Linked DNA regions of Arabidopsis thaliana. The protein of the gene in region 2 interacts with the protein of the main gene of each other region in a biochemical or structural test. Each region holds a gene or a part of one and is shown on either strand. Other genes may lie near its edges.

The links.
Region 1: the proteins of BAM2 (region 2) and AT4G39270 form a complex in vitro, tested with the Arabidopsis thaliana proteins (one large-scale study listed by BioGRID).
Region 3: the proteins of BAM2 (region 2) and AT4G20790 form a complex in vitro, tested with the Arabidopsis thaliana proteins (one large-scale study listed by BioGRID).

The regions. Positions count from the first base shown.
Region 1 is NC_003075.7:18,272,585-18,283,734, reverse strand, and holds AT4G39270 (Leucine-rich repeat protein kinase family protein), read right to left. Parts: upstream 7,425-11,150; 5' UTR 6,862-7,424; coding exon 4,967-6,861; coding exon of another isoform or gene 4,879-4,966; coding exon 4,750-4,878; coding exon of another isoform or gene 4,746-4,749; exon of another isoform or gene 4,670-4,745; coding exon 4,647-4,669; coding exon of another isoform or gene 4,609-4,646; exon of another isoform or gene 4,573-4,608; coding exon 4,025-4,572; 3' UTR 3,794-4,024; downstream 1-3,793. Other genes in the region: AT4G39280 (phenylalanyl-tRNA synthetase, putative / phenylalanine-tRNA ligase), read left to right, coding at 1-64, 155-239, 347-384, 469-507, 631-707, 829-913, 996-1,092, 1,176-1,272 and 5 more; CCR1 (cold, circadian rhythm, and RNA binding 1), read left to right, coding at 8,777-8,884, 9,168-9,569.
Region 2 is NC_003074.8:18,412,527-18,423,579, reverse strand, and holds BAM2 (Leucine-rich receptor-like protein kinase family protein), read right to left. Parts: upstream 6,013-11,053; 5' UTR 5,840-6,012; coding exon 3,253-5,839; intron 3,166-3,252; coding exon 2,744-3,165; 3' UTR 2,317-2,743; downstream 1-2,316. Other genes in the region: BCAT3 (branched-chain aminotransferase 3), read right to left, coding at 270-447, 529-611, 687-812; WDR5a (Transducin/WD40 repeat-like superfamily protein), read right to left, coding at 8,357-8,644, 9,225-9,890. UniProt on the Arabidopsis thaliana protein: Necessary for male gametophyte development, as well as ovule specification and function. Involved in cell-cell communication process required during early anther development, and regulating cell division and differentiation to organize cell layers.
Region 3 is NC_003075.7:11,131,351-11,140,659, forward strand, and holds AT4G20790 (Leucine-rich repeat protein kinase family protein), read right to left. Parts: upstream 5,074-9,309; coding exon 3,816-5,073; intron 3,724-3,815; coding exon 3,425-3,723; downstream 1-3,424. Other genes in the region: AT4G20770 (Pentatricopeptide repeat (PPR) superfamily protein), read right to left, coding at 1-1,736; CML42 (calmodulin like 42), read right to left, coding at 1,959-2,534; AT4G20800 (FAD-binding Berberine family protein), read left to right, coding at 8,306-9,309.

The DNA.
Region 1 (11,150 bases), on a different chromosome or scaffold from region 2:
GTCCTAATTATGCTCCCGAGAGAAAGAAAGTGGCTACCGATTTGACTCGAGAAAATCTTCAAAAGTTTGTCCTATTCCTTGCATTTTTTTTCAACTTCTTAATGCTATTGTAGGTTGAATATGCAATTAAGAGAGGAATTTGGTATATTTGCAGCTGGAAAGAGTTAGAGTTTAAGGAGTATAACTTCAAAGCTAAAGGAGCGCCTGTTGACGCTGGGCATCTTCACGCTCTTCTCAAGGTAACATGACACAAAAAATGAACTTGTCGTATCCCTTTAGTGTAAGCTTGTTGTTTCTTTATCAAACCTCTATAGTTTTTATTTATATTACTTTTCTTGTACCTTAGGTGCGGAAGCAGTTTAAAGACATATTTGTTCAGATGGGGTGAGAGAAACTCTTCACATATATTGTAATTCCCCATTTTTCTGTTGATTGCTAAAATTAATGGTGAGCCTTATGTGGTCATAGGTTTGAGGAGATGCCAACAAACAACTATGTGGAGAGCAGGTATCCTCTAGTTATTAAGAATCTTGGTTTTCAGCTTTCCATGGAGGCTTTAAGGATATCTAATTATACATCCTTTTCTTGCTATTTGTTGGCTGATCTTAATCTGATTCATATACGCTACAGCTTCTGGAATTTTGATGCTTTGTTCCAGCCTCAGCAGCACCCTGCTCGTGATTCTCATGACACCTTCTTTCTAAAAGGTTCAAATCTTGAATCCTTTGTCACTAAATTTGTTGTTTAGGACAGCTATTTCTAGGTTGCTTGTTGACATCTCAAAGAATAGATAACTCTTACATTTAAGACGTAAATCTTTGAATGTAGTTCCCTCTACTACAAGAACACTTCCGGAAGATTATGTTGAGAGGGTGAAACGTGTTCATGAGTCTGGTGGTTATGGATCAAGAGGGTAATTGACTTGTATCTTCTTACCACCTTGAATAAATAATAATTAATTTGCAATCACTCTGACATGGCCTTTTGCAATAAAGGTATAATTATGATTGGAAAAGAGAAGAAGCAAACAAGAATCTTCTTCGTACCCACACAACGGCTGTCTCATCTAGGATGCTTTATGCACTAGCACAGGTTCAACTAGACTTTAGCTTACAGGTTTTGAGACGTTGGTTTCCAAAATTCAGTAGTATAATTAGATTTATATCTTACTGTAGAAACCTTTTGTGCCCAAGAAGTACTTTTCGATTGACCGTGTCTTCAGAAACGAGGCTGTTGATCGGACCCACCTTGCAGAGTTCCATCAAATTGAAGGTATAGTTCTAATGGTCAGAGTTGTCACTGTGGGGAGTTATATTAAAGTTAGCATAATCTTCTGTCAAACTTTATTCATAATCGGTTAAATGATCTCATGTTTGGATCAGGTTTGATATGTGATCGGGGCCTTACACTTGGAGACCTGATTGGTGTATTAGAAGACTTCTTCTCACGCTTAGGTAAACTCTTCGCTATTGAATCTTAACTTTGGTTCGCTTAGGCTCAAGAGAGAAATACTAACTCTTTACGGGATCATACTTTTCAGGGATGTCGAAATTGCGTTTCAAGCCAGCTTACAACCCTTACACAGAGCCAAGCATGGAGATTTTCAGGTAATTGGTAAAAAAATATAGTCATCTAAATTGCGTAAGAATAGAGAGAAAAAGTTAAACTTTGCCTGTTCCTGGATGTCAGCTACCATGAAGGTTTAGGGAAGTGGGTGGAGATTGGAAACTCTGGGATGTTCAGACCCGAAATGCTTCTACCGATGGGTCTCCCCGAGGATGTTAGAGTCATCGCTTGGGGTCTCTCTCTTGAAAGGTACGAGTTTTTAATTCCCTTCAACATCTCAGGGTCGTTGCTGATTCTTTCTTGCTTTTTGTTCGTTAAACAGACCAACAATGATATTATACGGTATCGACAACATCCGAGATTTGTTTGGACACAAGGTAAGCACAAAGATATTAATTTATTCTGATATCTTTCTATAAACATTTCCTTGTTCTGTTGATGTATATACTCAATCAATGTGTCATTATTCTGTCCCAGGTGGATCTCGATCTTATTAAACGGAATCCGATCTGCCGAATTGGAATCTAAGTGATATATTTTGATTGTCTTTTTGATTCAAGATACTCTATTTGGTTATCTCTTGGTATTTTCAATTCTACCTTTGGTTACTGGACTTTACAATTCCATCTTAAACGTGTGTACACTCTTAATTGCAATCTGGCTTGTCGAATTTTAATATTCATTTAGCATTTGGTTTTGTACGGTATAAAGTTTGTACTTGTACTAATGGCATACATATTTAGGATGCATAGTCTATACTTGTGCCAATGGCATATATTTTTAGAATCAATCGCAACAGCACCTAACATGTGGGAGAAAACGTATGTTTGGAATGGGCCAATGTGGCCCAATAGAATCTAGTGTAGCTAATGTCCATTGGTACCAATCTATTGTCACATACATAAGTATTGAGATACGGTCCAAGCAGCTCTCAACATCAAATTTCCTTAAACATTAACAACGTTGTAACTGCTGGATATTTGCGGTGAACTCATCATTGTGCACGACGACATTGGCGTAATTGTTTTTGCTTTATATGATTTACTTGAGATTTTTTTAAATATATTTTTTTTATTTTTTTCTATATTTATATTTTTTTTCTCAATTAATTTGGTGTTACGTGATGTTTTGGTTTTTGTAATTATTGAATCTAGATAACACAGATTATGTAACAAAGCTATATATATAATAATAATAATAATAATTAAGATGCAGTACATATAATAATTAGGTAATATTCCCTCCGTCCAACGAAAATAGATTTTTCAAATTTTATATCAAGTCCGATCGGAATTAAATGTTAAGAAAGACGTATTTTTTGTTGCTTTACGGAATTGCTGGTTTTAGTGGTTTTCGTTAGAAAAGAAATTTGGTGACTCTGAAAATATGTATGTACTGTGACCGGTGGTCCCACTTTCTGACTTCAAACAACATATGTGAGTAACGGCTCAACTATCGATGCAATCAATTGTGGAACACATTCCAAGCCATTTATTATCCCAACTATGTGAGAAACCATCTCCGTTCGACGGTTCTAGAAGCCCACAAACTATCTTCGGCCGTGGGTATAATACAAGGTAAAATTTATGTATTGAGTGTTCATCTTAGATCGTGGGTTGTTCAGGTATACAACATCAAGTACTCGGATTCACTCTAGGAGATTTTCAATATTGCTTTCGACGAGAGGCTAGAAAAAACATACGGTCTTTCTTTGTATATACAAGGTATGCACAAAATCTTCACTTATCAAGAAAACTTTGTGTAAACATTTCTTTGTTCTATTGGAAATATATATATTCAATCCATGTGTCATTATTTTGTCGCAGGTGGATCTCGATCTTATTAAACGGAATCCGATCTGCCGAGTTGGAATATGAGTGATATTTTGATTTATCTTTTTGATTCAAGATACTTTATTTGATTATCTCTTGGTATTTACAATTCTACCTTTGGTTATTGGACTTGACAATTCCATCTTAAACATGTGTATACTCTTAATTGCAATCTGGCTTGTCAAATTTAATTTTCACTTAGCATTTGGTTTTGTATGGTATAAAGTTTGTGAGGTGGTATTTACGATGTAAGGAATAAGAACTTAGATCAAATAAATAAGTAACTGGGCCAAGAGGCCCATTAAGTGCAAAGATGCAACGTGGTTAGATAACAGCAGCCCATTTATTAGCCTCATTCACACATCATTACAGAAACTTTTCGTTTTTTATATAATTGCCCCAAAGTATAAAACATTTCGATTCCCACCCCATACAAAACGAATTGCTAGTTTGCTACCCGAGAATATCAAAACTCAAAAGACTGGTCTGGTTTGATCATCGAAAAATATTATAAATTAACGGGAATTTTTTATCAACAAGAGATCAAATCATAACCACACATAAAAAATAATTAAAAATTGACGTCAAAAAATAAATATTGATCGTGTGTGTGTGTGTCTTTCTTTCTATACATCTTTCATACTCCGTCGACTCGACGCGCCACGGCTACTTCCTCTCGCTGACGATCCAGTCGCTAAACCCTCCGCCTGAGACAGAAGGCTACTTGTTCCCGCTGCGACAGGATCAGACACGCTCTGTCTCCAACTACCAAATATTCGACCGCTACTCGAAGATCCTCTCGAAGATCCAGTCGTACGGAATCTCTCAGATTCGCTGCTGTCTTCTCTCACAACTCTCAGTGGATTCTCCAAGGCTTGTACTATGTGTCTCATAAGCGGCCGTCTCGTTGGTTTTGGGTTAAGACAAGATCTAGCGACGATTGCCATTGCCCAGACTTCTTCTAAGAGGTCTTCGTCGACCAGAAGAGATTGGTCTAGAATGTTCATTACGGGTTCTTTCTCTTGCGATGAAATGTAAGGCATGATCTCGGTTAGGATTTTTTTGAATTGGGTTTCTTTACATGAGCTGATTCCGAGTTTCCCTGTGATAAGCTCCAGAAGTATCTTGCCGAAGCAGTACACATCGTAGGCACATGTTGCTGTAGCTGCAGACCCTGGGAATTTTAGGGATTGTTAGAATAGTTAAGAAATTAGCAAGCTTGTTTTATGCATTTGAAGATAAACTCACCAGGAACACTTTCTTGAGAAGACCTGAAGAGGGAAACAGTAGCAAGCTTGTTTGTTAGATGTTTAAATCAAAATTGGTTATATGATGAATCAGAGGCACTTACTGGGATAGTCTGAGCAATCGGGCTATTTTCCGTGGACGGCCATTGTTTTCTTGATGACAAGCTTTGCTAAAGCTTCCAAGCCTAACTTCAAACTTATCATCCAAGAGAATGCTACTTGCTTGAATATCCCTTATTGAACATTGGAAGACTCAAGATCAGTAATGAACTAATGGTGGCTTGAAAGTAAAAAAAGAGTAAAAGGAATGGTTTTTCATACCTGTGGACGACGGATGGTGAGCAATCATGGTGCAGGTAAGCAAGTCCCTCTGCTACTCCCAATGCTATTTTCAGTCTGGTGATCCAATCGAGAGATCTCAATCCGTTGTCAACTAGGGAATTGGATTTATAGAACAATGAGCTTGGTAAATCCCTATTCAGCATGTACTTGTATACCAAGAACTTATGAGTTGCGCTCTCTAAGCTCTTCCCTACGAATGGGATTATTCTCGGATGCGCAAACCGGCTGAAGAAATCCAACTCGGTTAGATAAGCTTCGTTGTTCTTTGTAGATTCCAAGCTGATTCTTTTCACAACGATCTGAACTCCGTTTTCTAGAACTCCCTTGAAAAGATCCCCAGATTGTCCTTTCTTGATCAGGTTTGAATCACTGAACTCCTTGGTGGCATTGAGCAACTGCTGATAGGTAAATGATGATCCAAGACTCCCAAAGTTTATAGAGACTCCTCCTCTTGAGGGAAGTGTTTCATCAGGAGGTAATGGGCCAACACCGTTGTGTCTTCCTCTAGGATGATTACTTGTTGATGATCTGTTTCTTCGACGGACACAGAAACTCACTGTTATTGGTAACACTATGAGAATGAGCATAAGCAATATAGACCCTCCAACTGCAGCAAGTATAACTATTTTCGTGTGGCTTAACCAGGAAGTTTTAGAACTCTTCTTCTCTTCATGTTGTCCGAAATTGTTGAAAGTTAAGCCCTTTTTTGAATAAAACAAAGTGCAATCCGACAACTTCCGCTGCTTCTCTGGGCCCTGAAGACAATTGTTGCTCAATGAAGCTCTGGTTGGCACAAAGTCAGGAATTTTACCTTCAAAATAGTTTTCTGACAGGTCAACAACTTGGAACCTTGTCAGTAAAAGTGTGAGATTGCCGTAAAACATGTTCCCGGATATGTTAAGCATGGAGACAGTAGAATCAAAACTGACAGTGGTATTAGGCAGCATGTCAGAGAAGTGATTTCCAGAAATATCTAGAAACTTGAGCTCCGGTAACGACCATAACCTGGACGGTAAAGCGCCTATGAAACCACTGCCTCTGAAGTCAATGATCTGAAGTTTACTCAGCAAACTAAACAGATCAGGAGGTAGGGATCCTGAAAGGCGATTTCCCGCAATTACCAATGTCTGCAAGTTCCTTAGCCCTTTCAAATCTGATGGAACCGAACCTGACATTCCGTTGAAGCTGAGATCAAGGTCAATTAAAACAGAGAGGTCTCCGAGTGATGGAGGTATTGAAGAAGTCAAGGTGTTACGCGAAAGATTCAGACGCTGGAGCTTTGAGAGTGCCCCAATATTAGCAGGAATCGAACCAAACACCGAGTTTGAGGAAAGATCAAGGATTGATAGATTCTGAAGAGAGGTAAGAGACAGAGGAATATCCCCATTGATCGCATTCTTTGAAAGATCAAGAACTTTGAGATGTGATAACCGAGTCAAACTTTCAGGGATGGTTCCTGTGATTGAACAGGAGCTAAGGTCCAACACCTCTAAAGTCAACAGACTCGATCCAAACAAAGCCGGGATTGGACCTGGAAGATAGAACCTTGAGGCGTTGAAGGAAGCTAGACGGGTGAGATTGACGAGAGAACCAACTGAGAATTCCGGGTTTTGATTCCCAATCCTTGTCCTTCTGAACCCTGAAATGTTGATCTTAGTTACTCTACCATTCTGATCACATTTGATGCCGTTCCAGTTCAGACAAGGATTGCCTTTTACAGGCCAATCTCTGCTTCGTAACCCAAGAGAAGACCTTAACAGCAGAAGCGCCGATTTCTCATTCAGAGAACTTGTCTGTTGCTCAAACGTTGACTCTAACAACAAGAGGAGGAATAAGAAGAAGACCAACAAGGATGTCTTCCTCAGAACCACCATGGTTTCTCTAAACCCTGGTGACGACTAGTACTTCGAAAAACTTAAAGCCATTCATTGCCTAAGATTCAATTGGAAAAAAGCTTCGCGATTTATGGAAATAATCAAATCTCTTTTTTTTTTGGGTTTCCTTCGAATCCGATCAATAAAGGAAACTTTCTTTTTGTGATTATTCAACAAAGATATATACTAAAAAAGGTTCTTCACTCTGTTACCTCTGCGACTTTCTCTGGCAATTACTTTTCTCTGTGCACTTCAGAATCAAAAACGATTCATTGTTGTTTACCAATCATTTTCTGCTGCCTCTCTCTCTCTCTAACTCTTCCATGTTTTTTTTTGTCCTAGATTTAGAGAGAGAAAGATGGAAAGTCTGATATAATACGAAACAGATATTTTTATATAATATTTGATAAAAACTTCTTCTTACAGAACTGTTCTGGACAGAGAAAGCTTCAGACTGGTCAAGAACAGCGGCCGTTCGAAGAAAAGAGAAGAAAGTATAAGAAAATAAAAAAAGTGAGAGAAGGTGGATCTTTCGTTGTATACGTGCACGTTCCCAAGATTTATGGTTCGATCTCGTGACCGAGACGCAGATACAGTAATTGAAAGTGAAGTTCTGAATACGGCGTCGTTTGAGGAGTTTGACTCTCAACGATCCCGCCCAAGACAGCTTAACGAACTCTTAAATTAATATCATTTCAAAAATACTTAAAGTTTCTGCTGACGTTTAATATGATAACCACCATTTTAGTAGTTTTGCAAATAAATAATTGAATTCCTAGGAGCTACGATGCTACTCCATTTCTGTAAATTTTGTATGACAATTATTTTTCCTCGTATTAAAACGACCAAAATATACTAATAATAATTGTGGCTTTATTATGAGCAAAATGATTTAGTTGTCACTCTTATAAAAAGTCGACGATACTTTTTCATATTACCTGCGATATATTAATAATCAGATTTCTTAAAAAAATCTTAGCCAGGTTATTTCTTGTTGAAAAAGCTCTTCTACACGCTTTAGTCAGCATTTTCAGCACAAAAATCGAAATCAAGATACTGAACCATTTGTAATTGACTTTGTATAACTACTACATCTTCATTCTTCATCCGTCTAATTTTGGTATACAAAATAATTAATCCTGTAAAAAAATAATATTCAGACAGTCAAAATATTTCAAGTACAGAGCGAGTGTATCCAAATATTCAATGATTGAAAATTGAATTCCATTGAAAGATTTATATGTTCACATATCTGCACATCTAGCTTTCATTTGAATATCACTTAACATACCAAAATATTTGTACAACAAAAAACGTCTATGCTAAAGTTTGGATATTACAGACTGTAACATGTCCACGATGCTATTGCGATAAGAATCTTTTCATATGAATTTATTGCATGTCATAATTAATGACAAAACAAATATGTAAATCCATAGCACATTATCGTCATAGTCTTTGCATATTATTTCATTTTATTGTTTTACTAATTTCGCCGTCAGATTCATTGGGCCGGAAGTTATAATCTTTCCAATTAAATTAGATAGGCCCAATAAACGAAACTCAGACCCAACTATTGTATGACATAATGACGACGAGACGAAGGACAAAATTGTCATTTAAGGAATAAAAGATATTCTTACAAAGATATTTTTTGCTCGAAACGAGGAGAAAAAATCATTAGTTATCGAAAATGCTCACATGATGTGGGCCTAACCACTAACCCAATTAACCACACATCTTAATCAGAGTAAGTTGAAACAAATCTTTCAGCAAACCCTAGAAAACATGTTTAACCCTAGTTATTACGTCACACCTGTTCTATAAATTAAGGCTGCGTCTTATCACCTCAAATCACATAAGTCTCTCTCTTACATTTTGAAACCCTAATTTCTCTTCTTTTCCCCAAAAAAAAATGTCTGAAGTTGAGTACCGGTGCTTTGTCGGCGGCCTTGCCTGGGCCACCAATGATGAAGATCTTCAAAGGACGTTCTCACAGTTCGGCGACGTTATCGATTCTAAGGTCTGTTACACGAGAGATCGGTCTCCCGGATCGAGCCGATTCCGATGATTCTGATCCTCGACGGATCTGATTCCGATCTGTTTCTCTGTTACTTGATTCGATTACTGTTACTATGTTCTCTCTCGTTCTTTGTTACTGTTACTTAATTTGTCCCATCGGTACGTTCATCTTCCTGCTTCTATGAGCTCGGAGATCGATCGATTTTTGCTTTATATTCATCGCTTTGTTTTATATTCCTTCCACGATTGTTTTTGCTGATGTGTATGATTTTGTTTGTTTACAGATCATTAACGACCGCGAGAGTGGAAGATCAAGGGGATTCGGATTCGTCACCTTCAAGGACGAGAAAGCCATGAGGGATGCGATTGAAGAGATGAACGGTAAAGAGCTCGATGGACGTGTCATCACCGTGAACGAGGCTCAGTCGAGAGGTAGCGGCGGTGGCGGAGGAGGCCGTGGTGGAAGCGGTGGTGGTTACCGCAGCGGAGGCGGTGGTGGATACTCAGGAGGCGGTGGCGGCGGATACTCAGGAGGAGGCGGTGGTGGTTACGAGAGACGTAGCGGAGGTTACGGATCTGGTGGAGGCGGTGGTGGCCGAGGATACGGTGGTGGTGGACGCCGTGAGGGAGGTGGCTACGGAGGCGGTGATGGTGGAAGTTACGGAGGCGGTGGTGGCGGCTGGTAATCAAAGATAGAGTTGTTTGCGTGCTGCTGCTCTGTTTTTGGTTTAGATTTGGTTTTGTGTCACCACTTCTGGTTTGGTTATCGTTCGTTTGGTTTACTTTTTTGATGAAACAGTTTCGTTTAAGTCTTCTTTGTCTGGAACGAAATGTTAATTCGCGTGTTGTTTACTAAATTTATAACGTTTCCTTTTAACCAGATTCGAGATTTTCCCTCAAATAATTTATCTTGTTAGACACATGTATTTAATCGAACAGCAGCTAAAGGATTCAAATGATTTTCTTATCAATAATTACTATAGTTTGAAATTGATTAGTTCTTTAACTTTTGACCTACCAATAATTAGTGCTATTTTATCGAAAATGATCGTCACTCAGTTTTGCGCCGATCCAATGTGGACATTGGGTATTTAATACTAGTATCTTCTGTTTAAATTTTTGACTGAGAATATATAGACAACAAGATATTCATCGAATATTCCCCTTCCGTTACTTTTCTTTTTGTCGGCATCTTTTTATCGTGAAAGGATATCATCGTCAACGTAGCCCAATGAGCTCAAACCAAAAATGTAAATCCTAATCCATAAAATGACTATTAAACAAACAATAAAATCACATAGATGAGACTTTGGATATGCTACAATATGTGTACTTTTGTCTCTTGTAAAATGTGTAGGCTTGTTGAGCAATGCTCTGTTTACTCACTCTCCAAGTGACAACAACAGTCTGCACCGCTTGGAAGAAAAAAACAAACTTAGCATTTGTTAACAAAGTTATTATGAACTACTATAGCAACCCCATAGAAATAAGCATCTTCATTGAGCTACAACAGCTAAGTCTACAAAGGAACTTAAGATTACATCAGGATTTAGTTCCTCAAGTTGCAAAAGGAGCTACCACTAGTTGAGGAATATAATGCTTACCCTTTCCTTTCTTTTCCCCACATATTCTTGTAAAGCTACAGTGGCAATTTACACCAATCATCACCAGCTAAGCAACGTGTTTCATAAAATGGCCGGTACCTTCACTATAGGAAATGCAACTTGAAGATGGAGATATGGAATCAAATCCACCAAATCTTACCCTATGTAACTTTTCATGTCACAAAAGTAAAGATGCAGCGAATCCATATTGCATAACAACCAATTCTGATGTTTCTGACATAAACTATTATCTCACAGCTCAAGAGATTACAAGACGCTGAAAGTGAAATGTATATTTTTTACCATTTTAACACCTAGGTAAGAAGGAAACAATGATGAGAATATATATCGTGAAATGCCTACTTGTAGAATCCCGTAGCAACTAGCAACTATACCTCTAGAATATATTGAGCCATCAGTCTCATGATTAAGATTCTTTTGTCTTGTTTGAACTTTTCTTTCTTGTAAAGTAGTTTATCCCAAAACCATGGCAGTCTCTTGAGTTCTCAGAACATCAATATCTTAAAACCTAAAACTTGTACCACAATTCCACAAATGGAAATATCTCGCAAGGCCACAAATTGGTGCACATCCACAAGATAGACTAAATCTCGTAAGCATGTTAAAGAATTAATGCGCATGAATCATACCATGTTAGTTATT
Region 2 (11,053 bases):
TCTAACCAACTTCTCCACACTTTCAGATCCTTACCTAAACCCCCAAAAGGCTTTTCCTTTTATCGAACTTGTTAAGGACATGACTTTGAGAAACTAGGATACAAAATCAGATAATAGATTGCGTTTCAGTGTCAAGAATCTGACATTCAAATCCTAAACCTTAACCCCACAAAAAGCTTCTTTTAACCATAATCTAAGCTTGGTCTAGACTTTTGATCATACTCAATACAGTAAAGGACATGACTTTGAAGAAAACTAAGAAAACAAACCTGTCCATAGTTGAGTACACCAGCAGATGGGCTAATTTCAATATTCCCAAAACGTTGCAACTCACCTTTTGAGAACTCTCCATCAATGTTACATTTCATCACATACATATAATCAGCTGGCTTAAGCCCAAATCCAACGGTATCCCAATCTATGTCGGCTAATTCAGTTACCAACGTACTAATTCAACATAAACAATACATATATATAAGTAAGAACCTGAGAACTTGGACAAATACCCACCAAAAACAAAGAACGAACCTGGAAGAATTGGACGAAACAGCGTTGCATCGAGTAAGAGAGATTCCACCATTAGAAGAAACAGAGGAAGAAGAATGCTGAAGCTGTGAAAGATAATCGGAGAAATGGGTCAGATAAATCAGAAGATGATAAGAGAGGGAGATGAGAAAAGAGTTGACCTTGATGGAGGCAAATGACGGCGGCGATAAGTTACGAGTAGAGGAGTGGAGGCGCGTGGAGAAGGCGCGTGAAGGACAAAGTAGGTAATTTTGATTAACACTCGGGAGAATTGCTGCTCTCTCCATTTTTTTCTATCTTCACAATGTGTCTAGTGTTTTGTTATACACGTCTTCTTCTTCTTTGATAAGGGAGACGGAGGCTTTCTCTCTGTGGTTTCGTTTTTGCTCCTTTGCCCTAACAGCTTATTTGTACTTTTGTTTGTCAACTACTTAAATAACCAAAAAGACAACACGTGTTTGATAAGTAAGTTTGTGTTATTAAGAAAAACTGAGCCTAGCCCAACACAAATATGGATCTATAGCCCAACATGGACAAGTGTACAAGACAATGATAGCTCTCTATAGCCAAATATATTTTGGTACTCTTTGGATTGTTGTTGCTCTTGTTTGATTTCCTTGATTTCGAAACGACTGTGCAGAATGATTTTCTCACAATTGGAGTGACATAAGTACTGTGTCGATAAACCAATGAAGAGCTGAAGAAAGAAACAAACGTTACAATTCAAACACAAAAGTACATACTCTAGTTTCTGACACCAGACTGATTCTTTTTGTTCGTCCCTTTATCTAACCTTCGTTTAAGTAGATGGAGTTGTTATGGGCCTCGGCCCGAAAGTTCAACTACATGACTATGTTAGAACTTAGAAGTTTGAGATGAAGAAAGAATCTCAATATATAAAATATATCTTTGGATGATTTAAATTGAATTCAATTGTTAGTCATCTAATGGCTATTCGTAATCTGGTAGTTTCACCCGATAAGTGTATATATGAAGCTAGAGAATGGAACATGCCATTTCCCATCTCTTAATTAGAATCTTGGCCTCTGAAAAACATTAATTACCACTTTAATCCATCTTCAAGTCTTTCTAGTTTCTTGATAACTAACTCCTGACTTATTAATTCTAGAGTTAGGCACTCCTTAATTAGGTTTACAAGATCATCAATGTACATTCGAACGTAAGAAATTTTGAACATAATACATCTAAAATATCATAACTAATATTCTTATTGTTCTTTATATCTTTCTTATCTCAATATAATAGTCATGGTTATCGAAGAAAGTACTAGATACCAAGGATAGCAACAACACCTAAAGTCTAAAGATTTTTTGATATTGATGAGTCAAAATCAAAGTTGAATATATGGCTTGTAATTAATGAGAGGGAGATGTCATAAATGCTTCGTCTAAAATTAGATTTTTGCTTCAAGACAAGGGAATAGAGTGGAAAAAAGATCTTAGGACCATCTGAATTCATTAAGACACTAGTGTCACACTACCCATACATTTGCAATAATTGGACAAATTGTGAGTGAGCTTTCACTTTCTCTCTTCTCAGCGTTACTCATCTTCAGTCCCACACAAACACATTCATACCTTGGTTTCACCCTCTCTGTGTTTTTTTCACATGGAATGTCTTGTTGTGACACAACAGCTACCACAACCAGATACAATCCAAAAGGGTAAAAGCAAAGGTGAGAATAAAATATGTAATGTAACAACTCATAAGCAAGATTCCAGCATAATGGAGACACTAGTTTCATTTTAAGACAACGAAAACTCTAAAAAATTAGTTTTTGCTTGAGTATGAAACTAAATGAAGTTCTTAAGAATATAAGGGGCAAAAGTGTTTTTTGGTCTAACACAATTGACATACTTGAACCGGGGGCAGATTGATCATATACATAACTGCATGTATATATATGCTGATATGCATAAGCCATAATGTTCTCGAAATTCGATTTCCTGAAATTAACCACTTATCATGCAAAATTCAACCGCAATGTACATATTCAAAATTCCTACACGAATAATTGTGGCAGCAGTGAAAAAAGAAATGCAACAACCTTAAGAGTTAAACCACTAATTGTTGCCTTAACCGGAACCAGACAACAACGGGCTAATTAAGTAATTAACTCCACTACCGAGACGTCGGTGACAAGAAAATTAGAAAGACAAATTTGCCCCTCAATGACCAAACCCAATCGCCGGAAAGTCTAATTACTTAAAAGATCCGGTGGACTTCCTGAATCCGGCGACGATTCATTAATCGCCGGAGCTTTCTCAGTCACGTCTGATTCCGCCGCTTGCTGCTTCGAAAGAGGAATTTTTGGGATCTCAGTGAGAATCTGAACGACTTCACGCATCGTCGGCCTCTCCACCGCTTGTTCTTCAACGCAGAGCAACGCAACGTAGAAGACGTGTGTTACCTCGTGAACTGGAACTGAAGAGAGTCTAAGATCGATTACTTTGAGCACACAATCTTTATTTGAATCCGTCATGCTTCTCACCCATTGAACAATATCAACGCCGTCGCCAAATTCTCCGACGGGTTTTTTCCCGGTGATGAGTTCTAGAAGAACAACACCGAAACTATACACATCGCTCTTCTCATCTACCTTCAATGTATACGCGTACTCTGCTCAACAAGGAACAAACAAGTTCAGAGATTTTACATTTCACCACCAAGTGTTTGATTAAATGCCATTTTCTGCAAATTTGTTACCTGGAGCTATGTAGCCGTAGGAGCCGGCAATTGCGGACATACATTCAGAAGTACCGGAATCTTGGAGGAACTTGGCGAGACCAAAGTCGGCGACATGAGCTTCGAAGTTGGAATCGAGGAGGATGTTGTTGGATTTAACATCTCTATGGACGATCAACGGGGAACAATCATGGTGGAGATAGCAAAGACCCTTGGCTGCTTCAAGAGCTATCTTATAACGTGTGTTCCAATGTAAATGACCTCCTTTCTTTCCATGAAGAACCTCTCCAAGGCTACCATTAGGCATGTACTCGTACACAAGGAGATTCGTTTCGTGGTTGGAGCAAAAACCGAGCAGTCTCACGATGTGTCTGTGTCTGATTCTACCTAGCGTCTGAATCTCGGCGTTGAACCCGTGATCGTGGGAAGATCCATGGGACATTGTAGCCAATCGTTTGACCGCGACTAGGTCGCCTTTAGGCATAGTGCCTTTGTAGACAATCCCAGCACCGCCTTTACCGATGATGTTGTCTTCCTTGAGAGAGTCCAAGACATCGTCACAAGTGAAGTCTAGCCTCTGGAAAGCAGTCAATCTCCATGCCTTGGCTTCACTCGCATTTCGCAAGGACCGAGCTTTGATTATGGCCACTATAGCAAACACCATCGAACAAAAGAGCAATCCAAGGACGAGTAACAGTTTCGTAGTAGCAGATAAAGGTTTGACATGAGACTGGTGAGTTCCTTTGCCGCAAGGACCCAAATACGGACCACAAAGATGAGAGTTACCCACAAACGATGTGTAATTGAAGTAACTAAACTGTCCAGTGCTGGGAACTAAACCGGAGAGATTGTTGTAAGAGAAATCAACCGATGTCAAACTCTGCATTGATGCTATCGTCACAGGTATGGAACCAACGAGATGGTTTCTTGAAAGATTCAAGTAATTCAAGATCTTCATACCTGTGAGTTCATTAGGAATATCACCTGAGAGCTCATTACGGCTAAGATCAACAAACGTTAGCAGCTTACAACGACTGATCTCCGGTGCGATCCGACCGGAGAACAGATTGTGGCTAAAATCCAACTTAGATAGCTGCTGAAGCCTCCCAATCTCGGGAGGAATCGAACCAGAGAACTTGTTACCATCAAGAAGTAGTTTTTGAACACCGGACAAGTTTCCAATAGCTGCAGGTAATGAACCAGAGAGCTGGTTATTAGAAAGACTAATCTGACCAAGGTCACCAGAGACTCCTCCTCCGCTTATTGGCAACTCTCCGGTAAGGTAATTGTCTTGGAGCTCCACTTGAGATAATTTAGGTAACCCGAAGAGCTCCTTTGGAATCGACCCGTTAAGGAAATTCTCACCCATCCGGATCCGGGTCAGAGACTCACATTTACCAAGCGAATCCGGTATTGAACCAAACAAGAAGTTGCCAAGAGTGATTAACGTCATTAACCGGTTACCAGAACACATATTCGGCGGCAGAGTTCCGGTGAGTTTGTTCGAAGAGAGATCAAGAATCACTAATCTACCATTTTCCCCCAATTTCTGAGGAATACTACCAGTGAAATTGTTCTCCCAAAGCTGCAACACTTCAAGCTCCGGCATTTCACCGATGAACTCAGGTATAGCACCGTAGAGCTTATTCCTGAAGAGATTCAAAAGCGTTAAGTTCTTCAGCTGTGAAAAACTCGTCGGAATCTCGCCGGTAAACATATTGTTAGACAGATCCATCGATTTCAAGCTTGAAATCAATCCCAGCTCTTGAGTTATTGTCCCTGTAAATGCGTTTACTTGAAGAAACAACGTATCTAGCTTCTGAAGCTTCCCAATCTCCGGTGGAATCTCTCCGGTTAAACCACAATTAGCAGCGTCGAACCGAACAAGCTCTGATAAATTTCCAATCTCCGGTGGAAGACCATTTTCAAAAGCGTTGTAATATCCGATGTAAAGTTCACGAAGAGTCGTTAGGTTTCCGATCTCCGGAGGGATTTTACCGGTTAGCTCGTTACCGGAAACCGCTAAGTATTCGAGAACAGGCCAGGTTCCGTACGTCGCCGGGATTTTGCCGGAGAAGTAATTCCCACCGAGGTGAAGATGACGGAGCTGAGTGAGATTAGTGAGTGAAACCGGTAAATCTCCGGTTAAATTGTTGTTGTATAAGTCAAGAACACGGAGATTCACCAATCCAGAGGAGAGTTCATCGGGAAATGAACCGTTGAAGACATTATTGGAGAGATTGAGGTGACGAAGCTCATAGAGATTGGAGATTTGCGGCGGAATAGGACCTGAGATCTGATTAGCAGCGAGTGATAGATTCTGTAGCAGAGGTAAATGAGCTACGTCGGAGGAGAGAGTTCCGGAGAGGTTAAGACCTGAGAGGTCGAGAGAGGTCACGTGACGGAGAGAGACGTCGCACGTGACACCGGTCCATGAACAGAAAGTTGTTGAAAGGTTCCATGAGGTCAGGAGAGGTGAGTGTTCGTCGATGGTGAAGGAGGATTTGAGTGAGAGAAGAGCGTGGAGCTCGGTGATTGGTTTAGCGACGGTGAAGGAATGAGAAATGTGGAGGAGAAGGAGGAGGAGGAGGAGAAGAAGAAGCTTCATTTTTTTTTTGTTTTTTTTCTTCTCTTTCTGTGTAAGTTAGGGTTTGGTTTTAAAAAGGGTGAGAGTAAGTGAGGAAGATGAAGATTGTGTGTGTGTTTTTTATGAGTTTTATTTGTATATTGTAAAAGTATTATTTTTATTTTATTTTGGAATTTACTTGGAGGGAGATTTTTAAGAAACTTTGATTTCACATAAATTTTCTGAAAATAGAAAACACAAATTAAAAACTTGAAAAGTCGTTTATTTAACATATATAGAAACATATGCATGTGGTGGATTTAATGAAACATGGAATTAGAAAGGAAGGGATTCAAAAACGATAATTACATGAAGAAAATGTTAATTAATTTGGAGCCTTGTTGTTTTGAAACGTGATGTTACCTAATCTTGACAAAATCCAACACTTTATTACACAGGTATACAAGTGTAATAATGCAATACCAAAGCGAACCATAAATTCAAAAAGATGTTTTAAAGATAAACCCCATAATGAATTAATTGATGATGTTGAAATGAACGGTCCTGATGTTATAATTCGACGGGAAAAGATGGAGTCCACCACTGGGGATTCACAAACTTACCAAAACTTATTGAGACACCCGCTTCTTTAACCTCTCTTAAGCAAAACGAAACACTTAATTAACCAAAGAACCCCTTAAAAAGCTTTGTAATAACATTTCTATCCTTAGGACGGACCACAACAACAAGCCCCAAGGCAATGGCATGATCGACAAAACCCAGAGAGCCGGTCTCTGTACTCTGATCGACTGATAATGACGAGAACAACCTTGAGATGACGCACGGCAACAGTTAAGATCCTCGAGAGATGGGTAGGGATACGATCGTACTTTTGATTAGTGGAAGTAAGTCAGTTAAACACAGTCCTATGTGCATCATTTTCATCTTTTGCCAGTTACCACAGTTCACTGATCAACAATAATGGTTTCCCGACATGTATTTTATTTTATTTATACTGATTTTTTATTATCTCACAAAATTATCCAATTTGATTTTGTAAGAAAGTAGGATTTCGAATCATTTGCTTCTTTTGCCAGTTACCACAGTTCACTGATCAACAATAATGGTTTGCTCAGTGAACAAACATATTAGTTTTTTTTTTTTTAATCTTGTATTAAATATGGAATCAAAATGCAAAAGAAAAAAATGAATTTTTAATGATATAGATCTAAAGAAATACTGAATGTCAAAATTTTGAAAGCAGATTTTTAGTCACATGATTAGGGAAATATGTAGCCACTAGAATAAGTCGTACTCGTATTAGGTGAATTTTTGTTTTCTTCTTTATGGACCCGGATCAATAGAATAAGTTTTCATCTGCAACGCACTTTCTTGCACTAAATAATAAACTTATATTAGTGAAAAATTTATAATAATGAAAACATTTCTTGTTTAATGGTTTACTTCGAATGATAAGAATTGGTAAGCACGTGTTAGGAAATGTATACTTTTTTGGGGAAAATGTCGAAGATATACTTTTGGATGGGTGTGTGTGTATTGCAGATTCGTTTGTTGAAGCTTGATTTCGTATTTGGTACCAAATCGAATATATTTAACCTGACTAATAGATTATTATGATAGCACTAAACCTAACAATTATTGTTTGCTACTACAATCATAAAGAATTCAATTTATACTCTTTTTGAGAGTTTTTATGTTTAATCTTATTAGCATATCTCGAGAACTTTTACACAAAAGAACCAAAGCTGAATTTTGGTCTTTGTATCAATTGGGAGAGACACAAACATGACTGAGTCTTTAGGAACTGTTGCTTTCTCTTGAATCATGTAAACAGAAAGACACGCTGTAAAAGCAAACAGCCCACTGGTGTGTAGCTAAAAGACAGAACAAAGGTCACAAAGTCATCTTTTTGTTAAAAAATTTTGGTTTCGAAATTGAAAACAAAAAAAGAGAGAGTGGGTTCAAATTTTCAAGTGGTCCATTTCAAAATCTTGTAGGGTTTAAAAAAAAGAAGACTTTACGATAAAAGTGAAAATGAAAAGTAAAAAATGGGACAGGACCAGGGGACCATAAGCTTCATCATCATGGCCAACCAAAGTAACCAACTACCATACATTATCTACTTATAGTCATATATCTGTACTTTGACCCATGAGCCACCCATCAATATGGTTCAGATGAACAATTTTCAATCCTGAAACTACTTTATAACCAATAGTATTGGTGAAGCATTGCATCAGCTTAATAGATACAATGAGTAAAGGGTAAACCTATGAAGATTTGTGTTCATTCTCTCAAATGCCTTTGCACTTGCAGGAGTCTTTGCCTTAAGACCTACCTAAATAGTTCTGAGTCACACAGAGAACTATTACAAGTTTAGAACAGTCTGTTGCACTTCCCTTACACCAAACAAAAATTAGACTTTTACATAATGAGGCTAGAATCAATCTAACAAGCTTAGTAAGCAACAGATGATTACTGCATGAAGAAGGTGGCATGTACCTACATGTTTGATTTCTGAAGAGAGAGAGTGATGATTTATTCTTTCTTCTGTGTCCAAATCCTTACTGTCTTGTCGAGCGAGCCTGATGCGATCAAGTTCTCTGTCGGGTGGCATGCTACGTTCATGACGGTCTCAGTATGACCCTCAAGTTTCTGTAGCAGTTTCTTGGAGTTTAGCTCCCACATGTGTACACAGTTGTCCTCGGATCCACTGACTATTCGCTTTCCATTTGTGACGGAGAACGCAGAGGAAATGCAATACTGTGCGTTCACGTGGCCAGTGTATGTTTTGAGGAACTTAGCAGACGAAATGTTCCACAACCTCTGCAAATTTATAACGAATCATGAGAATTCCTTTATTCAACAATACCCTATAGACGCAAACACCAAAAGAAGATGTATCTTACAACCCTCTAAATACGACCCTTCAAAAGTGTTGAATCTCGATCAATAACAGAACTGTTCCAAAGCTATCAACTTTTCCTTAACTAGATAACAATTTTTGCAAAAATAGCTTTGGATTGGCTTCTCCTACATCAAACTTCTATTAACACACAACCTAGAATCTAAGTTCATGGAGAGATGAGTGCATTAATAACGAATCATAAGAATTTAATTTCCTAATGCAAATTAATCAAACTCCAAACGACGATGTATCTTCGAAGCTACAACCCTCTAGATACGACCCTTCGAAACTCTTGAATATCAACCAACAACAGAACTATACTTAAAGCTAACAACTTCTCTGTAAACTTAGTTTTGAATTGGCTTCTCCTACATCAAACTTCTACTAACACACTCTACCCAAAATCTTCATGCTTTTTTTCGAGATCACTATAGAGCAAAACTAGTAATCACACTAAAAACATCAAATCTTTGAAAGGAATTCAACAAGTGAACTCACCAGCGTGTTATCAAGTGTACCAACGAGGATAAACTTGCCATTAGGAGAGAATCTAACAAACGAAACAGGAGGATTCTCATCATCAATCAGAGTTTTCACACAATGACCAGTCCCAGAATCCCATATACGACACAACCCATCATAGCTACTCGAAACAATGAGAGACCCATCTCTATTAAAATCAACAGCAGTAACAGGATCAGAATGCGCGGGAAGAACTTTCAAACACTTTCCAGTAGTGACATCCCAGATCCGAACAGTTTCATCAAACGAACCAGATACAATCATATTTGATTGAGGATTGAAATTGACACAGAAGGCGTAATTAGTGTGTCCAATAAGCGTCTTGATCAATGAACCAGTTTCAACGTCCCATAGCTTTAAGGTTTTGTCATCGGAAGCTGAGACTATAAACCTCGCGTCTGAAGAGAATGCAACATCGGAGATACCGTTTTCATGGCCGGTGAATTCTTGTACGGGCTCGGCGATTGGATCGTTAATGGTGTTGATTGTGTAAGTGCGGATTGTTTTGTCGGCGGAGGCGGATGCGAGGAGACGTCCATCGGAGGAGAATTTCACGGAGGAGACGGCGCGATTGTGAGATGTTAGAGTTTGTGAATGGACGTATGGAGTGAATGATGCTGTTGCTGGAATTTCCTCTGCCATGGAAATTGGTTAGCGGAATTTGAATTTGGCTGATTTTAGGGTTTTGGGAAAGGAGGCTTTGTCTAACTAAAGGAGAGAGACGACGATCCAGTGTTCTTGGAAAAACCCCGACTCTTTTAAATAAATTGTGGGGTGTGTTTTGAATGAAATAATACTATTGGGGTGTATTTAGAGTTTTCGTAAATTATATAGTTTCACGAGCGACTCACGTGCTCGCTTTCCAAGCTCAAACCTTCAGAATGATACAGAGTCTTTTGGAATGTCTTAAAATTTTAGTTCTTTCTTGCTTCGCAAATTAAATCAACAACACTCTTCATATATTGACTACCACAGTTTTAACCTAAGACTCTTTAGTTATCATGTAAGTTTGGTATGCCGTAACAATCATGGACTAGATTTTAACCCTCGGTATACCAGGGGATGATTTATTTTTTAAAAGTAATATATATTAAAATTTGCAAATTTTATTTTTATAAAATATTTATATTTTACAGTTTATAATTGTTATTAAGTAACACTATACCACGAATCCATGAGACAATTGTTAAAAAACTGAAGTTTTAACCCCTATTAAAACAACATATTAATAATATTTTAAAATTTTATAAATATTAATTCAAATACATCCACCATATAACCCAATTCCAAAATAAAACCCGTTATGTAATTTCTTTACCCGTTCCGTGATTTTTTTTTAAAGTAGTAATTTTTAAAATTTAAGAATTATTTATTCTATATAAAAGTTTTGCAAATTGTATCATTCTCTAATACATTTATATTTTATAGTTTAAGTTTATATATAGTAACATTATACATACCACATAACATTTTTGGTTTTATATAATTTTTTCTAAATTAGGATGATTTGATATGTTTAATATTAGTGGTCTTAAAAAATAATAAATTAAAGATTTAACCCGTATTGAAATGGTGGATTAATTATATTTTACTTTTTTTATTAATGTTGATTCAAAAACCCGTCCCTCCAAATCCGTCTTGCCAAAAAGCCATTTATTTTATTAATAGTAATTTTATTTATGATATGACTCTGAATTATAATCTAAACATTTTAGCTAATAACATAGGAGTATACCATATTTATTTAATAGGTGAATGTACCATATGACCCGAATGCACTTTTACCCAAATCCACCAAAAAAGTC
Region 3 (9,309 bases), on a different chromosome or scaffold from region 2:
GCATCGAAGAACTGTCGAGCTGAATCTATTTCCCCACACTTGCAGTACATGTCGGTAAGAGCGGTTTCAACAAAGGAATCACTTACATATCCACTCTTCACTACCAGTCCATGAAACTGTCTTCCATGGAGCAAACTACATAACCTTGAACAGCTACTTAGTACAGTAGCGAATGAAGTTTCATTAGGACACAACACGGCAGTCTGATGCATCCTTCTAAAGAGTATTAGAGCTTTTGTGTCCAGCATGTTGTGTCTAAAACCTGAGATCATCGAGTTCCAACAAGCGATATCCAATTCGTTTATACAATCATCAAAGATACATTCAGATATCTCCATCTTCTCGCATTCGGAGTACACTGCAATAAGACCACTAACTATGTGACTGTTCTTCGAAATCTCGGTCCTTATCACTACCCCATGGATCTGCTTCCCTCCTTCCAGAAATCTCAATCTCGCACACGAACTTAATATCACACTCAAAGTGGTTTTATCAGGTTTCAGGTTCTGAAACTGCATTTGTCTGAAATTGCTTATTGCTTCCTCATAGTGTTCATAGTTGGAATAACCAGAAAGCATAGCATTCCAAGCGCTAACACTTGGCTGGGGAATGCTACTGAATATTCTCCTTCCGGTTTCGACATCCCCTGAACGAAAGCACGCTCCAAGAACACTAATGCAAGTAACTTCATTTGGTTGAAAACCAGAATCTCTCATTCTCGTTAGGAATTCAACAGATTTGTCACTTCGATACTCCTGACCAAACCCAACTATCATTATGTTCCAAGAGACAACATTCACTTCAGGCATCTCAGCAAAAATTAGCTCTGCACCATTCATGTCTTTATTCTTTGCATATATTTCAAGCAACGAATTGTTCAGATGAAGATCTCCTCCAAACCCAAGTCTCAAAGCAAGACAATGAATCTGTTTCCCAAGCTCATTGCCATAGATTTCACTCAGGCTATCACATCCTTCTCTTGGAGCAGAGATGCTAAGAATATTAGATAAGCAAACAGAATCCACCTGCACGCCTTTCTCGCACATCAATCTGAACATCTGAACTGCCTCCAACACTTTATTTTCCCGAGCTAACCCGCCAATCACCGCTGTATAAGAGACTTCATTAGGCTGAGAGAGAGATTCAAAGACTCGAACACCATAATCAACAATAAACCCACACTTTGCATACATAGACAACAACGCATTCCCAACAAAAATATTCTTATCAAGACCCGTTTTAACAGCAACCCCATGACACCTCATACCAAAAACACCATCCAAAACCTTGCTACACGCACTTAAAACACTAGCTAACGTGAACCGAGAAGGCAAAAACCCATCACAAACCATCCTCTTATAGACAACCAAAGCCTTCTCTTCAAACCCTTTCCTCACCAAAACACTAATCATATTATTCCACGACACAACATCTCTCTCAGGCATTCCATCAAACACCTCACACGCTTCCCCCAAATCCCCAACTTTACATCTAAACGTCAAAAAAGCATTCCAAGAATAAACATCTCTTACAGACATTTCATCAAACACCTTCCGTGCATAATCCCCATCACCACACTCAATATACAAATCAAGTAAACGATTACATAGATAAGTATCACTCTTCATTCCCATCCTAACAATGAACCCATGTATAACTTTCCCAGAAAGTTTACACCTTTCATCTCTATAACAACGCAAGAGACTCGCTAAATACTTATTCCCTCCGCTACGCATTTTTTTTCTTTCAAACAAATATATTAGATTGAATATTGTTTATAGGCGACAATATGCGTTTGGTACGAATTTTTCGTGCCAAATTCAGTAAGTACAAAAAAGAAAAAATTTATTTGTTTATAATGTTTGAATCAATCATTACATAAACTGGAAAAAATACAAACTTAAAAGACAAAAAGTAAAAATAATAATCTTTTGGAGAAAAAATGTTTTTTTGGAGAATCAAGAAGAAGGGATGACAACAGTACGCATCATGTTCTTGAATTCAAAAAAGTCAACGCGACCATCTTGATTCCGGTCAACGGAAACGATCATCTTCTCCACTCTCTCCATTTCTCCACCTTCAGGTAAACCAAGTTTCTTCAGAACAGTTTGCAGTTCTCTAGCGGAGATGAATCCATCACCGTTCTCATCAAACACCTTAAACGCCTCGGCGAGATCCGATTCATTTTCAGCTGCGGAAGAAGGATCATCTTCGTTTTCTCCTCCTCCACAAGCTCCACCGAAGAAAGAATCGTCGAGTGTTTTGTGAAGAGAAGAGAAATCATCGAAATTGAGACCAGTGTTACCAGGTTGGATGTATGATTCAACGGTGGATTTGAGATCGGAGAGATCAGCGTTGAGACCAAGACGTGTTAGAGCTTGGCTTAGCTCTTCGACGGTTATGAATCCGTCGCCGTTTTTGTCGAATAAGTCGAAGATTCGTTGGAGACGAAGTGCGTTTAGGCTTGGGCTACGTAGTCTGAAGGATGATGATTGTCTTGCAACTTTCTTCTTCTCGTTGTTGTTACTCTCCATTGTTATCTTGTGTTCTTCTTCTTCTTCTTGTTCGTTTGTGGAATTATAATCTGAGATTGAGAAATTGAGTGATGAGGGCTAATTATAGAAGAGAAACAATTGGTGAATTAAAAAATTTATGTGTAGGAGTCCGTTGTTGCCGGCATTGACTTTGTCTGGCCCGCCATGTAAGAACTTCTAGCATCAGACCCCATAATTCATACTATCAATGTCAAAATAAAAAGGTCACCTTTTTTTTTGCCAAAAAAAAAAAAAAAAAAAAACGGTCACCTTTTTTGTGATCTGTCGAATAATATTTTGACAATGACATTAGAACAAAAATCCGATCTTTTTTCCCCCGGGAAAATGGAGATAGAGAAAAAAAAACGTCTAATTTTATGATCGTTATTTAATTGTGATACAAGTTTCGGTTTCAAATGGTAATGAAGATTATTAATGCTTTGATGATGGGTTAATTTCTGGTTTATTAGTATTTGGATTATTTTAAAAACTGAAATTGCTTTCAAGTTGATAAATGATACACTCATACATAACTGTCGATGGCTTTTCAACGGAGAAGAGACAAGTCACGTCGTAGTAGTTACCGAATTTTTAATCGAACGTTCCCATTTGCCAACCAGTGTATAGTTTCTATATCTTCCAACCCGGGTCGGGTCATTTGAGAACCCATAAAACTATGAAACCCATTTCAGCTAATAAAGCCCATTTGCAGAAATGAAGCCCATTTACAGATTTCATGTCTGCAAATTAAGTACTCATTTTCTGCAAATTCTCTCAGTACTTATAGTAATCAAAGAAAAAACACACAAATATGTCTTTAATCCTTACAATACTATCTAACACCAGATGTCTGAAAATCAAAAGAAACCAATAAAGCTTTACAAGGTATTTCAATGATGTCGTGAACTAGACTCATACAATGAACTCACCAAGTCATAAATCTGCGTCAAGCTTGGTTGCTTTAATGGTGGTATTATATCAGTACACATCAGTCCTAGCGTAATGGCTTGCTTAACTTGATCAAATGTTCTCCCCTCAATCTTCATCTTCTCATCAATCACTCTCTCTAGATTATCCGGATAATGAACTCTTATATACTCAAGATACCTTCTTTCTGAATCTTCTTGTCCCAAATCAGGTCTTAGATTTGTAATCATCTCCACAAAAAACAATCCAAAGTTGAATATATCTGTAATAACACAACAACAACAACAACAACAGACTTAGCTTTTATAGCCTTAAAAAGGTTTTGATTTTTGCAAGAAGAAGATGAAGCCTTACTTGTTGACAAGTTGTTTCTATCTCCAATCTTGAAATGAGAAATCAAAGGTTCTTGATTATCATCGGATAACAAAACACTGCTTGTGGTGAGATCAAATGTAATCTCTGGCCATTGATCTGATAGATAACAAATACCTTCTACAACTCCTAGAACTACTCTTAACCTTCTTCTCCATGATAAAGCCATTGACGAACTTAACCAAGTCTCAACATTTTCACCTTGAATCCATTCTGTAACCAAAGCTCTCATGTTTCTACTATTACACCAACCCAACACTCTTACCAAGTTCTTGTGTCGTAACTTAAAAACCATCTCGCATACCTCTGCGAATTCACGCCTTTTCTCACTCGAAACCTTCTCTTTATAAACCTCGATCTTCGTCTCTGTCCCGTCTCTTAACGTTCCTTTGTAGATATCCACTGTATTGCTCATGCTCACAAGATGTTGATCTGAAAACTCATCCGTTGCTGCTTCAAGCATCGCGAATGTGAACTTGTTTCTTCTCCGGCATGTTCTTGGTAAGTAATCAGGTCTCTTGACACATAACCAGCCAAAGCAAAAACAGAGCAAAATCACCATTATTGGAAAAACAATCAACAAGACCAAAACTTTCATCTTGTAACGCTTCACGTTGGGAAGAACACCGGACTGTATGAAACTAGAGGCGTTAAACCGTTTGAAGAACTCAGAATCCGAGATCTTATTCTCGGAGAATCGGTTATACGATAGGTTCAAATGGGTCAGATTGGGTAAGCCTGAGAGATCTTGAACCGGAACAAAACCAGAGAATTGGTTGTAACTCAGATCAAGAGTACGAATCTGAGCACAAGACAGAACATTTGTCGGAAAACCATTCGTTAGAGAGTTATTCACTAACTCGATATCAACGACGGTTAAAGGACAGTACTTCCAGAAGAAATCGAAAGAGAGGTAAAGAGCAGCGGTTTTAGGACGACCGTGAATTCTGATTCTAGGGAAAGATTCAACGCAGTTAGGGTTTTTGGACTCGTTACAGAGATGACTAGCGACGATTGTGGATCTGAAAATCTCGACAATGTCCATTGGAGAAGAGGAAGTGTTGTTGCAGTAACGGAGCATTGGATCACGAAGACAGTTGTTGGAAATAGTGGTGTTGAAATCAGGAGGTGGACTTAGATTAGCGAGGTCTTCGACGACGGTTGCGGAGAATACTGAGAGAGGAAGATAGGATGATAGTAGTGACGTGAGGAAGAAGATGAAGAACAGAGAAGACGCCATTGGAGAGATAGAGAGCAAATAGGTTTCGTTATTTGGTTTCGTGTATGGGTGAGATTAGAGAGAGAAGCAGAGAGGTAGTTTCTGTGTTATTGGAGGTGTTGTTGTTGTTGGCGGTTATTTTGAAACAGAGTGGGATGAGATTTACGCGCCCATTTTCCTTTTAGTGATCGTGTGCTTGGAAGTTGAAGATTATTAAAATAATAATAATTGTGAAGTTTTTTAAATTTTGTGAATATCTACACTTTTTACAATAGCTCCACTATGAAAACAAATTTCAATGTTTAATTATCATTTTCGTTGTCATTGAACACATAATAATGTGTTTATGTCAGTTGGTAAAAAATTATCTAGAATGGTTTTGCTTGTATTTGTAAGATTGTGCCTCGAATTCCTTTCATATATTTCTTGTCTCTTTGGTCTATTTATCTTGTTCTAAACTTTTTCTCTTTCTTGCGCAACAAACATCTACGTGGGTGAATTTGAGTCGATAATTATTTGGTAAATGTGCTCAATGTTAAATATAATTTTTGTTTGAGAATTGAATTGAATTATATAAACTACTATCAATAAAATCTTCAATAGTTTCACTTTATATCCAATGAACTTTATATTTCTGCAATTTTACCAAATTAATATGCCTAATTTAAAATTTAGATTTATAGAATCATATATATAATTTTTAATTTTCTACATTTCTATTTTTATTCATCTAATCTATATGCATTTAATTTCTTTAATTGGTATAGTTTCCTATGTTGTATTGTTTATTATTTTGTTATTAACATATTTTATAATTTTTTGTATTTTCTTAATTAAGAATAATAAAAATATATAAAAATAATAGTTATTGTCTTAATGAATCTTTAAAAAAATGGAAATTCAACAGGAGCTAAAAGGTAAACTTTTGATAAAGAAAATAAAATTTATTGCAAACTTACTCAGGCTTCTTAATTGTTAGAGAATTTTACACTAATGCAACGCATTAAAAGGTGAATTCAACAGAAGCTAAATGCTACTTCCATGAGCACTAACTCAAAAAGTGAGAGGAATAGTCATTTGAGATAAGTTGAGAACTAGGCAGTTTTTAGGGAAATAATTTGAGAACTAGACAGTTTTTTTAAAAATAGGCTGATAGGGTAGTTTCTTCTGTCCTCTCTAATACAGCCCTCCTCTAATACAGCAAATAGTCAAAGACCGTTTTACCCCTCTTGTGTTTTGATGAAAACTAATGGGCCAAATTCAAACCAGCCCAATATCATTCAAAATTCAAGATTTGTCATGGGCTAATATCACAAAACTCAAACCCATTTGTCCTCAAGACATTGAAACCAAACATAAACTTATCTCCTAAACCCTCGTTGAACATAAACTTCTCTCGTCGTCGACATCTTCTCTGAAGTCGTCATTGTCAAAAGAAGATAAACCCTCGTCACTTCGAAAATCATACACACATTGTCAAAATCTGTCGAGATGGAAGGTATGAGTTATCATAAGAAGCTTTACAGTTTATGAAATTGAGTGTACGGCCAACAAATAACGATGGAGACGATGACTCTGTTTTCGTTTTTTCAGGGGACGATGAATCCTGCGTCTCCATGGTCGGCCGGTGGATTTGCTACTCCAATGGTTGGTGGGATTTCAAGGTTGATAAAACTAGGCCAGGAAAGGCTATTAACTGCGAAAAAATTCAGACTTTCAAATCACTTGAACAAGTTCTCCGGCGAAGATTCTCCATGGTTGGTCACGACGTCTTTTGTTTAGTATTCTATCTTGGCTAGTGTACTAGTCTAGTGTACCGAAGTGGTGTACTGTTCTAGTGTTCTCACTTTGTGTACTATCATAGTGTACGCATTTGGTGTACTAGTCTAGTGTACTAGTCTTGTGTACTACTGGTGTACTGTTCTAGTGTTCTCACTTGGTGTACTATTATAGTGTACCCATTTGGTGTACTATTCTAGTCTACTTCTAGAATGTCAAAGTATCAATCCAAATTATAATACAATATATTTCAATTCAAGTGTTATGAAGCATAATAATAATCTAGGGTTATGATTTTGAATTAGGAATTTATTTATTTACTTGGAATTCTAAATTCTAGTAATCTAAGGCTTTAGGGTATAGTTTTAAACTTTATTCCATATGATATATGGTTTTCCTTGGGTTTAGTCTTCTCTCTTTGTCTTTTAGTGTATAGTTTTGAATTTCACTACATTTCAATAATGTCTTTTAGTGTATAGTTTTAGGGTATAGTTTTTAATTCCATTGCATTTCCTAAATGTTTTTAGTATAATAGTAGACTAGTCTAGTGCACCAAAGTGGTGTACTGTTTTTAATTCACTTGGTTACTAATTGGTGTACCCATTTGGTGTACTATTCTAGTCTACTATTATATTCTATCTTGGCTAGTGTACTAGTCTAGTGTACTAGTGGTGTACTGTTCTAGTGTTCTCACTTGGTGTACTATTATAGTGTACCCATTTGGTGTACTGGGTTTCTCTCAAACGTCTCTCTTCTCGAACTCGTTCACCCTCGATTTGTTGTACACCGACTGTGGCTAGGGTTCGTGAAAAACCAAGAAGAGTAAAGTAACTCAATCTCAGAATAAACACGGGCTCAGAAGTTATTTGGATAAAAAACGTAATGAAACTATCGGGCTCAAATATTTGGGCTCACTTAATACGAATTGGAGTTAACGGGCCTAAAATGAGTTTTAAAACCCAATCCAATTTGTTTCGTCGAACCCAGCCGGAATGTGTGTTTTTAAAACACAAGGCTACTATTGTATTTGACACCTCTTTTGGATTTTTGCTACCTTTTTCTATCTCACATGAATCCTATTAGACAAGCCCAATAAAAAGTACCCTCTTAGCATATTTCCAAAAAAACTGTCTAGTTCTCAAATAATTTTCTAAAAACTGCCTACTTTTACAATAAACCCTAGTCATTTCACTTTTTTATCAAAAACAAAAAAATTGAATAAAGTTTCACATTAAGTTACGTTTCCAATTAGGCAATTACATTATAAAACAAAAAAAGTATTCAACTTTCCCTCATTACTTCAGTTTCCATATTTTGTAGGTTTATAAGTTTATTCAAAGTACTGTAAATACATCTTTCAGTTTAATTTTCTTTCCATAGTTTTTTCTATAAGTCTAAATCCCAATTAATACATAAGAAAAATAACAAATTACTTTAGATTTTTCGTTTCTCTTTGAGTTCTTCAATCAAAGTAATGAAAGAAGTAGTTTATGTTCTGCTACTTGTTCTTCTTGTTTCGGTTTCAGATGCAAATGAAACGAAACCAAATATTGAAAACTTCCTCCGATGCCTTCGTAATCGGACCAATCCGAAGAATCCGATCGCCGAAGCCATCTATACTCATGAGAACTCCACCTTCGCGTCTTCTTACGTGTCCTACACGAATAACAAACGGTGTTTAAACCCTAACGACACAAAACTAATCGCCATTGTTGCTGCAAAACATGAATCTCATGTTCAAGCAACTGTGGTTTGCGCAAAGTCAAACGGAATCCAGATCCGTATCCGAAGCGGCGGTCACGACTACGAGGGACTTTCTTTCACCTCCTCCGTTCCGTTTGTTATCCTTGACATGCACGATCTCCGGTCTATAACCATTGACGTGTTCAGAAAGCAAGCTTGGGTTGATGCTGGTGCGACCATGGGAGAGCTCTACACCAAGATCGCAGCGGCTAGCAAAACCCTAGCATTTGCGGGTGGCGTTTGCCCTACATTAGGAGCTGGAGGACACATCAGTGGCGGAGGATACGGAAATCTGATAAGAAAGTACGGAATCTCGGTCGATCATGTGGTTGATGCTCGAATAGTTGATGTCAACGGCAATATCTTGACAGGAGCTACCTTGGGACGTGATCTATTGTGGGCTATTCGAGGCGGTGGGGGCGCTAGCTTTGGCGTTATCCTCTCGTGGAAAATCAACCTCGTCGATGTTCCAAAGACCGTGACTGTTTTTAAGGTTAACAAAACCTTGGAGCAAGGAGTTACTGATGTTCTCTACAAATGGCAGCTTGTGTCGAGCAAATTGCCTCAAGACCTTTTCTTGAGAGCAATGCCTAAACCGGTAAATGGCGTGGTACCTAGCGAGAAAACCATCGCAGTTGTGTTCTACGCTCAGTTTTTAGGCTCAGCAAGGAGGCTCATGGCGATTATGAACAAGAATTTGCCTGAATTAGGGCTAAAACGTGAAGATTGCTACGA